3 linked regions of the Nothobranchius furzeri genome follow. The protein of the gene in region 1 binds, or shares a complex with, the protein of each later gene. Links are inferred from orthologs where the notes say so. Each region holds a gene or a part of one and is shown in the gene's direction. Other genes may lie near its edges.

What was found.
Region 2: the proteins of fgfr3 (region 1) and kl are in contact, whole or in part, in a cryo-EM structure (PDB 7YSU), measured with the Homo sapiens proteins. The link is inferred for Nothobranchius furzeri from reciprocal best matches to the Homo sapiens genes FGFR3 and KL. Residues at the interface, in NP_000133.1 of Homo sapiens: Gln286, Leu288, His290, Val291, Val293, Gly299, Thr303, Pro304, Tyr305, Val306, Thr307, Val308, Leu309, Lys310, Glu320, Leu324, Ser325, Leu326, His327, Asn328, Val329, Glu332, Asp333, Thr338, Leu340, Phe347, His349; in NP_004786.2 of Homo sapiens: Ser539, Gln540, Phe541, Thr542, Asp543, Asn545, Val546, Tyr547, Leu548, Trp549, Asp550, Val551, Ser554, Lys555, Arg556, Leu557, Val563, Lys566, Arg568, Tyr571, Val573, Ala576, Pro580.
Region 3: the proteins of fgfr3 (region 1) and fgf23 are in contact, whole or in part, in a cryo-EM structure (PDB 7YSU), measured with the Homo sapiens proteins. The link is inferred for Nothobranchius furzeri from reciprocal best matches to the Homo sapiens genes FGFR3 and FGF23. Residues at the interface, in NP_000133.1 of Homo sapiens: Glu157, Arg158, Asp160, Lys161, Leu163, Leu164, Ala165, Val166, Pro167, Arg223, Asp244, Leu246, Glu247, Arg248, Ser249, Pro250, Val277, Tyr278, Ser279, Asp280, Ala281, Gln282, Pro283, His284, Ala312, Gly313, Ala314, Thr316, Thr317, Asp318; in NP_065689.1 of Homo sapiens: Ser29, Leu32, Gly33, Ser34, Trp36, Tyr43, Ala45, Ala47, Arg48, Asn49, Ser50, His52, Ile75, Arg76, Ser77, Glu78, Asp79, Ala80, Gly81, Val83, Val84, His117, Gln118, Thr119, Asn122, Gly123, Tyr124, Asp125, Leu158, Ser159.

What each region holds. Positions count from the first base shown.
Region 1 is NC_091758.1:6,593,480-6,597,768, forward strand, and holds the start of fgfr3 (fibroblast growth factor receptor 3), read left to right. Parts: upstream 1-1,483; 5' UTR 1,484-1,911; intron 1,912-4,289.
Region 2 is NC_091750.1:61,953,034-61,957,022, reverse strand, and holds the start of kl (klotho), read left to right. Parts: upstream 1-1,184; 5' UTR 1,185-1,925; coding exon 1,926-2,642; intron 2,643-3,365; coding exon 3,366-3,796; intron 3,797-3,862; coding exon 3,863-3,942; intron 3,943-3,989. Other genes in the region: pds5b (sister chromatid cohesion protein PDS5 homolog B), read left to right, coding at 294-326. UniProt on the Homo sapiens protein: May have weak glycosidase activity towards glucuronylated steroids. However, it lacks essential active site Glu residues at positions 239 and 872, suggesting it may be inactive as a glycosidase in vivo.
Region 3 is NC_091741.1:43,106,070-43,109,478, reverse strand, and holds fgf23 (fibroblast growth factor 23), read left to right. Parts: upstream 1-1,330; 5' UTR 1,331-1,494; coding exon 1,495-1,729; intron 1,730-1,809; coding exon 1,810-1,913; intron 1,914-2,330; coding exon 2,331-2,789; 3' UTR 2,790-2,909; downstream 2,910-3,409. UniProt on the Homo sapiens protein: Regulator of phosphate homeostasis. Inhibits renal tubular phosphate transport by reducing SLC34A1 levels. Up-regulates EGR1 expression in the presence of KL. Acts directly on the parathyroid to decrease PTH secretion. Regulator of vitamin-D metabolism.

The sequences.
Region 1 (4,289 bases):
ATCCTGAAATAAAGCCCAACTATAAACAATTATATAACCTTTTGTCCTTTGCTGCCAGAAAGAATATTTTGCTTTTTTGAATCAAGGAATCTACACCCTCATTAAAGTCCTGGCATATTGTGATACAGGAGTGTATTCCCAACGAATATATTATGTACATTCCATGCTGTAGTTCTTTTTTAAAACACCGAGCAGTTTTGTTTACCTGTTTTCCCGCTACGTTTCGTTTGCGGCTGCAAACTTCCTCAGGCTGACGTAGCGGGAAAACAGGTAAACAAAACTGCTCGGTGTTTTAAAAAAGAACTACAGCATGGAATTAGAGATACGACACAGCAAGAACACACCTAAGATGTTCAAAGAAAAATATTATGTACATGCTTGGGACTGCACTGGACAATTTCTACTCAACGTAGGACCCCTGCCCAAAGCACATCGGGATTGTTTCAGCATCTCTCATACTGCAAGGTATTTCCAAATGACTGAAGGACTCTATGTTTTGTATTTCTCTTTGTTTTTCCTATGTACATGGTCAACGTGCTTGGATTAAGCTATGATATTTGGAGTTTGTAATGAAAAAAATATATATAAAAAAAAAACAACAAAAAAAACCCTGTCATGCCAGACCATATGTCTGATTTTGTGAAAAAGCATAAACATGTTTTTCTAGTTGGAGGACAGTATTTAGTGCTGTTTGAAGCTTCCTCAGTAGAAAGAAATGCACTTGGGGCGAATGGGAACCCATCCAAGATGGTAGCCTGCTGCTACTTCAGCTCCAATAGCCAGTCCAACGTGTCTGTGCAAGGAACACTCACCCCTCCCCTCGGGTATCCTCACCGGTTTCATGTCCACTGGAACCGGAAACCCACATTGACAGAGGAAACGAGAGAGCATTAAACATCAGTCACCATTTATTTAGGTCCAAACATCTTTTGTTGTCTGGGACGTTGGATGTTTTTCTTTTTTGGGACTCTGTTTGTCCTAAAGTTGAATTGGTAGCAGCTGGCTGTTTCTTCTTCTGTGATATTATTAAGTGGAGAACCTCACACCAGTGGTGTAAAAGTGTGTAATGACTGAAGGACCCAGAGAAGTGTGGTGGTTCAGCGAGACAGACAACCGGATGGGCCAATGGTTGCTTTTGGTCTGAACATGCATTGGCTGGGGCTTTTAGACAAATGCAAGAGAACCACTTAATATTTTCTTTGTTTCATTTTTTATCTTCATAATATTTTTATAGCTATACTATGTTAGAATGTTGTTAAAATGCATAGAAAAGTTTTAAGCCAACTTATTTTCCAAATTTGCTATAGCAGCTTTAAAACGAAGCTGCTGGCGGCCCTGTTTCTTGGGCTGTAGAAAATACAATTCTACATGGCAAAATAAACAAATACATTTATACATAAAAACACATAGCGGTATAACAAATGTGTGCACAATTGGCTCAATGCCACTGGTTTTATTCTGAAAGGGCGGAAGTGTGTCTGTAGTGCGCTAACCAGGTTTGGCTTTTCAGCAGCCAGAGTCGGTAGATCTGTGACAGCGAGTGGCTCCCGGACCGCCTTCACCCGAACCGGGCCGTCCACACCGCTCCCCTTGAGGACGAGATGAGCGCTGTGTGGACATTTGGACACTTTGAAGCTGGTGGCAGCCTGTAGTGCAGATCTGGATCCAGTAAGGACAAGTTTGTCTTTCTCATATGCGGAGTCCAGTACGCAGCTTATTTTGACTCGGGAGGTTTTTGGACTATTTTGTTTTCCACACAGCTGCCCTGAAAGGGACTGGACGGAAGTATTTTAAGAAGCTTTTGGATTTTGGTCCCACTTTTTTTTCTTGGACTCCTGGTCTATTCTAATTTAATCACCTCATTTTTCTCTAATCAGATGTCTGTGCTTCTACTGTAACTGAATATTTCAGGTAAAGTGTTACTACTCCTGCTACTGCTACTACTACTAATTGTACTATTATTATTATTATTATTATTATTATTAGTAGTAGTAGTAGTATTACGCAGACAAAAAGTGAATTCCTCTTCCTTTTAGTCTGACAGGCTCGACCCATCAGCGTCTCGCCGTTAGAGAACGCATCTCTGTTTAAAACCTCGCTGGTGCCACAGCGGCTCTTTGGGTCAGTGCGTAATTGGCGCGTTCTCTCCGGAGTCAGACTACAAAGAACTGAGTCAGTTGGTCCTTTTAGTTCGCCTGGCGTGGTCACTGCTGCCTACATGCGCGTTGCGCAGTGTGCGAACATATTAGCTCACATTCGCTTATTTACGCACATCAGTAGAAATGATAAAGCAGCTTTTTGAAGGGCACGAAGGTGATCGGGCCCCTCTTATTTCGATAACAGAGCCTTTGTTGGATAGCTCCTGAATTATTTTCATCTCTCCCAAACTCCAACCGTGATCCAAGCGAATTTCCCAGAAGCCGCCCGATTCCGTAGAGACACGGGGCGGCAGGGGCTGGTCGGTGCGGTGGGTGGAATCAAACCTCTCACGCGCCCATCGAGCGAATGTTTGATGATCACACGCGTTTAAGCTGCCTTTCACTTTGTTGCTCATGAATAAAAACTACTTTTTATGAGCGTTAACATAGCATCCCTGTTCCAGTGACGTGTTCCAGACCAGCTGGATGGTGATCCCACTCCTGCTCCTGATGGCGTGATTTAGTGAACCTAATGCGCGTTAGCACACATCACCTAAAGGAAGATGTGAATATTGACGTCATATATGGAACCACAGAGCCACATTCACGCCAGATCAACCAGACTGATCCGACCCCGTGTCCCTGCTGCTCATCTCCCATCTGAAGGCGCAGCGAGAGGAGAGGGGCTAAGTGTGATGGAGGAGGGAAAGATGAGAGCATTTAAGGATGAAAAGATTCTGATCAAAGCTGGAATGGAAGATGGCTCACTATGTGTGAGGCTAATTCTGACTCCTAGCTGTTCTCTCATCTGATTGGCTACTGCTCTGCCTCTCAACAAAACTTTGAATCCCCTTCCCCCTAAAATAAAGAAGTGAGTTGAGCCATAGCTGTCCTTCAGCTTAATTGTGAAATCCTAGTGACACTTCGGAGACTTGTGACCAGCATGTGATCGGTGCCTCGGATTGATCCTCACTAAGGATGAGGAGGAGGAGGAGGATGACAGGGATTGGAGCACTTAGAACCCGTTTCTGCCTCTGAGCTTTACCTCTGTGAAAATAGTTATACATGATTAATGTTCATGTTTTATTAAGCAGGTCATTTTCCTTTTCATGCTGTTACACAATATTAGCACTAAAACACTTTTTGAATCCGTTCAACTGAGGTTAGTTAGTGAAATAGAGTCATCACAGTTACAGTTAACTCTGAGTCTTGATATTACATTTTAGAAACAATCCTAACCGTACCTTTCAGTACAAACAGGTTGAACATAGCTGCTGCCGTAATGCTACCTGTTATTTCGCAACATGGGCCATACGATACTAGATCAGTCACTTACCGCCGTTGTTGTTTCCAAGTTTCTGCTCTCAGGCTTTGAGAGGCTGTCATGCAACTTGTCTAAACAGATCTGCAAACTGACAAGACGCAACTCTGCTATATGCGTATGTTTTGGTGCCTGTCAGAGTAAACGGAGGTTGCACTTTTGCACAGCCTGCTATCATTGCCTGGAGTGTGCTGTGTAAACCGCAACAGCATGGAAGTGTTGTGTTGGAAGATACCGAGGATGTGTTCAGAGAGAAGGTTCTGTCAAACACATTGAAGACATTATAAGATATGGCACTCTGAAGCTAGAAAGGTGCAGTGTTTAGATTAGAATTGTGTGTGTGTGTGTGTGTGTGTGTGTGTGTGTGTGTGTGTGTGTGTGTCTTGCTAAGTGGCCTCAGTAGGTATTTTCTGTGCAAATAAGAGCTCAGTTTGTGCTGAGCAAGGAATGTGTCAGAGGTCCTCCAAAGAAAAGAAAAGCAGCACCGTTAAAAAGGACACAGCCTTGTGTGTGTGTGTGTGTCTGTGTGTGTGTGTGTGCGTGTGTGTGTGTGTGTGTGTGTGTCTGTGTGTGTGTGTGCGTGTGTGTGTGTGTGTGTGTGTGTGTGTGTGTGTGTGTGTGTGTGTGTGTGTGTGTGTGTCTGTAGTGTGTGGATATTTCCACATTGTGGGGACAATTGGCTGGTCCACACAATGACAAAATACCCTTAAACATGGTTTTAGAGGAATGGTGTTAAAAAAATTAAAGCTGCAGTATGTAAGAATATAGTGAGAATTTTACAGTGAGAATATCCTAATGGTTCAGTCATTTTGGAAGGAATGTTATACTGA
Region 2 (3,989 bases), on another chromosome or scaffold:
CAGGCGGACACGAAGGGAACAGGAAGGTAGACACCGGGGTGGAGGAGAACATCCGGTACTTTCTCAATAAAAGACGACGCGCTAGTTAGATTTGTGTTCATCGAAAAAGAACATTCTGGACAATATTTGTCATTTTACTGGATTGTTGCAATAACAAATATGTTTTCTTATAGAATCGGTGTATTTGTCTGCTCATACATGAAAAAGATCACGTTACCGTACTTTTATAATCTGTAATTAATTTGCGATTAATCGCAAGTAAAATGTCTTTTTTTTTTTTTATTGTCTTTCAGGGTCGTAAGAAGACAGCAGGACGCAGAAGATGAGCTTTGGAGTAAAATTTAAAAAACAAAACACAACGATTCTTCTGTCGTCAAGGAAACCGTTTCAGGAAAGGAAAAAAAACCCATGAACTTTGAACTTTTTAAACTTTTCATATGCCGATGTTCCCGCTGTTACACACTTGCATTTACCACATGCACACCACATCAGAGCGTCCGCATGGTCAGCTGTGGCTCGTCGCTTCGTGTTGCATTGTGATCATGTTCGCCACGTTAGGTAGAACTCATCTTAACATGAAAAACAAAAACAATATGGTTTGTAAATAGTCTCCTCTGTCTGTTTGTTGTTCTGTTGTTGTGTTTGATGCTGACTGGGGAGGTGCTGTAAAGCCTTTTGGGTTCTGCCGTTATTATTAAAAGCTAAAAAAAAAAAAAGACCGATCACCATCAACTTTTTCTGTGTTAATTGTGTCATTTTACCTTTTATTGGAATGATTTTGTTTACACCTCTGTATATTAAAACATTTCTTCTTCTTTTTTACCATTATTGAAAACTTTAAAAACAAACAAAAAAAAAGCAATTGTAGAGTTGCTTCTGGTTATGACTGTAGTGTGCATCTGATTTATTTGGTTAGATTTGTACTCACTGCTAGAGGAACGTCGTTTGTGTCACTGCTGGTTAATTTGGCTTCACATCCACCCAGTCAGACCCTCTGTTGTAACAATATAATTCTCTATAAAACCAGACCTGCTCGCTTCCTCTTTATTTGGTTTGAAACGTTTAGTTTTTCAGACTGAAAACAGACGTTCTAGTTCTTCAGATCCAACTGCGGCATCTGTCGGAGTCACGCGCTGTCCTCGGGCTGCCCAGCATCCCTTAATAATCCTCTTCCCGTGCTGTAAATGGGGCTGCTCCTGCTCCACGTCGCTTATGCACAAACGCTCCAGTGCGTCCGATGGAAAAACACTCCCGTGTTCTTCCCGTTTGTGATCCGTGACAGAGCCTGCAGGGCAAATTCGCTAAACGATGAGCAGAGCTGGACGTCTGAGGAGTGGTTTGATTATACACTTTAATAGCATAAACAACATATTTGAACACAGTTGGCTCCAAATATTCAAAAAGTCTAATTAGATGTAAATGACTATGGCCTCTCAGAGAAAGAACCACTTTTTTATTCTAAGACATACCCACCACCTCAGGTATTTATACTGATGCTGTGATAACCTGGGATGGGTTTGTGTTCCCTAGCAACCATCTGACTCATCACATTGTCTCTGATGAGATTAGGAATGTAGATTTAGTTATACATGTTTTGCAGATGGATTAAAGCTATGATCTGTTGATGGGTTCACATTAGAGGCTTTGGCACCTGCTCTCCAGGAGATTAGACTGAGATTAAAGGCTCAATATGAGCAGAATAGAATAAAATAAAGTGATCGTGCCTTATTTTGTCTTTGTGGGAGCCTTAACGTCTTGTGCCCTGAGCCCTTCCTGCGTCAGGTGCTTTGGTTAATGATTGACAGGTTCACAGCTGGCTGCTCGCGCGTCGCAGAGGTCTGGTTAGTCACCAAAAAGCCACCAAGCATGGTGGAGTGTGAGCCAGCTGAGGACCCGGACTTCCACGGCCAGTAAGAAAACCAACCATGAAGGGGTTTGTCGCTGTTCTCACATTTGTGGCCTTCGCTGCTGTTGGCGCAAAGCCCAATGCGGGTCTGAAGACGTGGAGCCGCTTCAGTAAACTTCCCTATCCGGGAGACAAGGCTTTTCTCTACGACACGTTCCCCGGGGACTTCATATGGGCCGTGGGCACAGCGGCGTACCAGGTGGAGGGCGCGTTTGAGAAGGACGGCAAAGGGCTCTCCATCTGGGACACTTTTACGCGCGGAGGGAACCGCATGGCCACCGGGGACGTGGGCAGCGACAGCTACCACAACATCCACGCGGACATCCGGGCCATCCGCCAGCTCGGGGTGACCCACTACAGGTTCTCCTTGTCCTGGTCCAGGATATTTCCGAACGGGACGCGCGGGAGTTATAACGACATCGGCACCAGCTACTACCGGACGCTCATCAGGAGGCTGAAGGAGGTCCGAGTCCAGCCGGTGGTCACGCTTCATCACTGGGACCTGCCCGAGCAGCTGCAGCAGACCCTGGGCGGCTGGAGCAACCCAGAGATCGTGGGGATATTTGAGGATTACGCAGATTTTTGCTTCCATGCGTTTGGGAATGATGTGAAGTTCTGGATCACCATAGATAACCCGTTTGTGGTGGCGCAGTATGGCTACGGAACCGGGGTGGTCGCTCCTGGGATCAAGAACGACCCTGATCTCCCTCTCCGAGTGGGACATAACTTACTTAAGGTGGGTATTGATTTAAAAAATGTGCTGTTTTTTTATTAGTCACAAAAAGTATCTGTTCAAAAATCTAATTTTTTATTCAATTTTCCTTCCATTTAGTATCTTGAAAATAAATTACAAAAAAAAATGTTTATTACTATGATTTTTTTCCCATTAAAATAGTAAAAAGCACTAAAATATGGCCAGGGGCGGTTCTACATTTACATTACAGGGGGGCCCGACTGCTTTGTTGGAGAGGTACATCTGTATGAAAAAAAATAATAATAAAAAAATGTGCCTTTAAGTATTTCAAAAATGTGTGTGTAATTCCAACAACATAATAATTCATGGTTGCTTTAGATACAACAGCTTTTCAATACCTTTCCAAATTTAACTATTTTGCAAAACTACATTAACGTCTTGGTAATCTGCATCAGAAAAAACATCAAAGTGTTTATCTTAACATCTCTTTTCAACTAACCCCAACCCCCATATAATTGCATTCACATGCTTTTTCTCCCCACATCTCATATTAGGCTACATTAACACAAAAAAATCTGCACTTATTCAGCAGGGAGGCCACTGGGGCTCCAATCTTTTCTGTCATTTTCATGCTTTTTTTTCCAAGTAAAAATAACCATTCAGATTTTACAGTGTAATTTATTATGCACACAGAACTTTTTTTTTAACTTTTTGACCTGCATGTAAAAGTTTATTCTTTATGTATCTCTCTTGTCTCTGCTGCAGGCCCATGCAGCTGCATGGCACCTCTACAACCGCCGCTATCGGCCTCGGCAGCACGGGAAGGTCTCCATGGCTCTGGCCTCCCACTGGATCAAGCCCAGCCGTACTCGCCTGGAAAGCCTGCGGGAGTGCCAGTGTTCCCTGGACCATGTCCTGGGCTGGTTTGCACAGCCGCTGTTTGTAGATGGAGACTATCCAGCCTGCATGAAGGAGAGGCTGGGTTCACGGCTCCCCTCCTTTACCCAGGAGGAGAGGGAGCAGGTCAGAGGAACAGCTGATTTCTTCGCCCTCTCCCATGGAGCTACCCTGAGCTTCCAACTCATCAACGACAGCCTGAAGTTTGGGCAGCTGGAAGATCTGGACCTGAGGATGCTGCTCTACTGGGTCAACGAAGAGTATGACAAGCCACCCATCTTTGTGATGCAAAGCGGTTGGTAGGTTAGCACACGGACATATCCGTTTTAGTTTGGGTTTGTGTTGAACTTGCGTTTGTTTTCCAGGTATGTCCTCGGTAACACCAAAACGGAAGATCCGAAACAAATGTACTACCTCAAGAGGTTCATTGCAGAGACACTTAAATGTGGGTCCATCGGATTCCACCAAACTCATCGAACTGTCTCGTCAGAC
Region 3 (3,409 bases), on another chromosome or scaffold:
TCTATTCCTCTCCTCTGTTCTCATATACCTCACCTTCTGCCTTAGTTTTGGTTTGCTAATCTCTGTAAAATGAGACGAAACAAATTTTAGTTACATGTTTCTGATAACAGACGATGCTAAGTAAAGTTTTGTTCCTTTTATTTTTGTACGTATGTGCTGTGCACAGCAGTCTACTGTATATTCCTGAAATACCAAATAATAAAAGTTTGTTTTTCTTTTTTTAACTGGCTGCTGGGAGTTTGTTGTTTCTGTGGTTTAACTGGATTTGCTGACCTTGAACTGAAAGATGTGAGTCACTCATTTAATAAATACATTTGTAGTGGTCTCTAGGAATTAATCCAAGTTGTACTCTGGGGAGGAAAAACTGACCGTTGCACCATTTCCAGGAACTTGTAAACGATAACGACCTGCACTTGTACTGCTTCGTTCAGAGTCAAAGGTAGAGAGGTGGTAGTGATCCACGGGTGAGTCCATGAATGTTGAGTGACAGTGTGATGCAGATCTGGCAGTTTCACATCTCTTTTCTATCAGAAACTGATGCAGGAGATAGGTGTAGGAGACTATTTTCATGTTCAGCCTGCATGAAAAACTCAGAGTGACCCATTATAATCAGAAATAATCATTAAAAATTGGTTTTTAGTGTTCCACATTTTTAAATCATGAAAAATTAAAACATTTCAAACACAAAATATTAGTTTAAATTTTTAAAACAACAAAGACCCCAAAATACATGCCAAACATAAAATTTACAACAAAATAATTTTTAAATCAAGTCCTGTCCCTAATTTACAAAACAAATGTAAGGTTAATTAACAGATTAAAAAATCTTTCTGACTTATTCCATGAATTATAACTTGTCACCATAATAATTTCCTGCATGAATGAACCGTTTATAAGAGGGGAACAGACTAAACGCAGTTAGGTTTCCAGTGTGGCAGCTTTCTGTAAAAGATGCGTCTGTTTGCTTTCCTCCCAACAAGGAAGTGTCGCCATCTGCTGGGTAAAAAGTGGAAACGTGGATGAGTGCAGGTGTGCAGAAAAAGCAGAGCTGGCATAAACAACTATTTTAACTCTTTAATTATAGAGCTGTCACTCTTGGTTGGGGAAATAATCCGCGATGTGATGAAAAGCCTTTAGAGGTTTTTTTTTTCCTTTTGAAATATTACACAATGCAGCTTCCTGCACTCCGAACTAAAACCTGAAGCGGTGGTTTAATAAGAAACGGTGGATGAGTCAAGAAGAGAACCCAAAAATAAAAGTCTTGATTTTTAACCAAGATCATGAAATAAACAGAGAGGTGGAAGTGGTCCTTCCGCTGCTGAAACCCGCACCTCTGCTTTGGGGGCGAGTTTCTTTTTCTTTTCTTTTTTTCCGCGCAAAGGATGTGCGCAGGAGTGGCGCTCAGATGGGCTTTAAATAGGTACTGTCACCAAACTGTGGCACAACAGAGCATCCGAGCGCTTCCAGCAGTCCAAACCAGCGGTTTGATCCAGGATGGACGTCAACAAGCGACTGGGGATGAGAGACACGATGCTGACGCTCTTACTCGCTGTCCTGCAGGGACTTCCTGTCGGGGAAGCGGCACCGAATCCGTCTCCGTTAGTTGGATCCAACTGGGGGAACCCGAGGAGATACGTTCACCTGCAGACCTCCACAGAACTCAACAACTTCTACCTGGAGATCAGATTAGACGGGTCTGTGGGCAAAACTACAGCCAGATCTGCATTCAGTAAGTTGATATTTGGATGAAAATAATGTAGGTTTATAGACCAAGGTCAGGCTGCTAAAAGTGTTTTTTTTCTCTCGCAGGTGTAATTCTAATGAAAGCTGAAACAAGGGAGCACGTGGCCATCTTCGGTGTCAAAAGCAACCGTTACCTGTGTATGGATCAGGAGGGGATTCTGTTCAGCTCGGTAGGTGTTTCAAAGTTATTTTCAAATTTCCAGCCTAAAACCTTATTCTGAGTTTGTTTATCGGTCCTATGTGCTTTTACGCATCTGGCTGTGCTACTTTTACGCATGCGCACCGCAGTTTATTTTCTAAATAACACTTAATTTCTTTAGTTTGCTGCTTATTCATCTTTAAAATACTTCAGTTGAAAGCTCGCATGTAATTTTAGTCGATTTATCAAACCACGAGTTTGTTTCTGGTGTCATTGTGGAGTTTTACGCACAACTTTTACGCACAGGATTCCTTTATTTAAAACGTCGGTTGGATTTATTGGCATCTGAAAATTGAATAAAAATAAATTCAAGGCATTTTTTCCGCCTAAATAAAAGTCAGCAAACATCGATCAGCTGGGGTTTGATGGCTTTCTTTTCCTCTTTTAGCCCATCTGCCAGAGGGACTCCTGTCTGTTCTACCACAGGCTTCTGGAGAACAACCGGGACGTCTACTATTCTACTCTAACCGGGATCCTGTTAAACCTGGAGGGCTCCCGGCAGCTTTACTCTGCGGGTCAGAACCTGCCGCAGACCTCCCTCTTTCTGCCCAAGAAGAACACGGTGCCGCTGCAGCGCCTTTTGCTGCACAGAGACAAGAGGACTCGGGTTGCGGACCCAACAGACCCACACAACGTCTTGATTTGGCAGCCTGAGGACGAGTTGGACTCCAGGGCGGCACAGGAGGACGACATCGACCTGGATGTGGAGGTAGAGTTGGAGACGGAAACAGAAGTCGGGGATGATGGAAGAAACGTTTCCCGGGAGACGCCGCTGGCTCCACACGACCCCTGGAACGTGAACTTATCCAGGCAAGGCGGCGCTCGGAGCACCGGGACCACGGTCTGATCTCGGCACCATGGATGATTTTAGAGTTAATGTGCTCTGCCTGAGTCCAATTTAACAGTTTAGTCCAAACATCCATCTGAAAAGCTGAATATATATATATTTTTTTTTTTGGGTAAAATCGGTGGTTTGTATTGACTTGTAACCTTTTTTGCACATTTTCTTCTGTCTTAAATCTAAAAAGCAACTAAATACGTTCTCTTCCATCATCAGACCTTAAAGAGAGTAATCAATTTTAGAAAAGCTTCTGCATCTTTGGCATCTGAGCATTCATCCAAAATGCTGGAATATCAAACAGGATGGAAATTATTCCTCTCTTTCTCGGTTGGTCTGACAAACCCACAATGATGTTTCCAAGACAGAAGCCTGATTTTTCCTACCTCTGGAGAACTGAGCGGCCTGCTGTCAAACCAGACAGGCATCACTAAAAATAAATATATAATTAAAGTAGAGTAGAAATGACTAGAGTTATAGTTTAAATGTCTTTGTTATACAATCTTAAGTATATTTTAAGAGTTGAACATACTCTCAAATCATCATTATGACTTATTTGCAGTTTGATCTGATAAATGACTTGAAAGAAAATGACTACAGGGTAAATAAATTCTACAGAATATCAAATG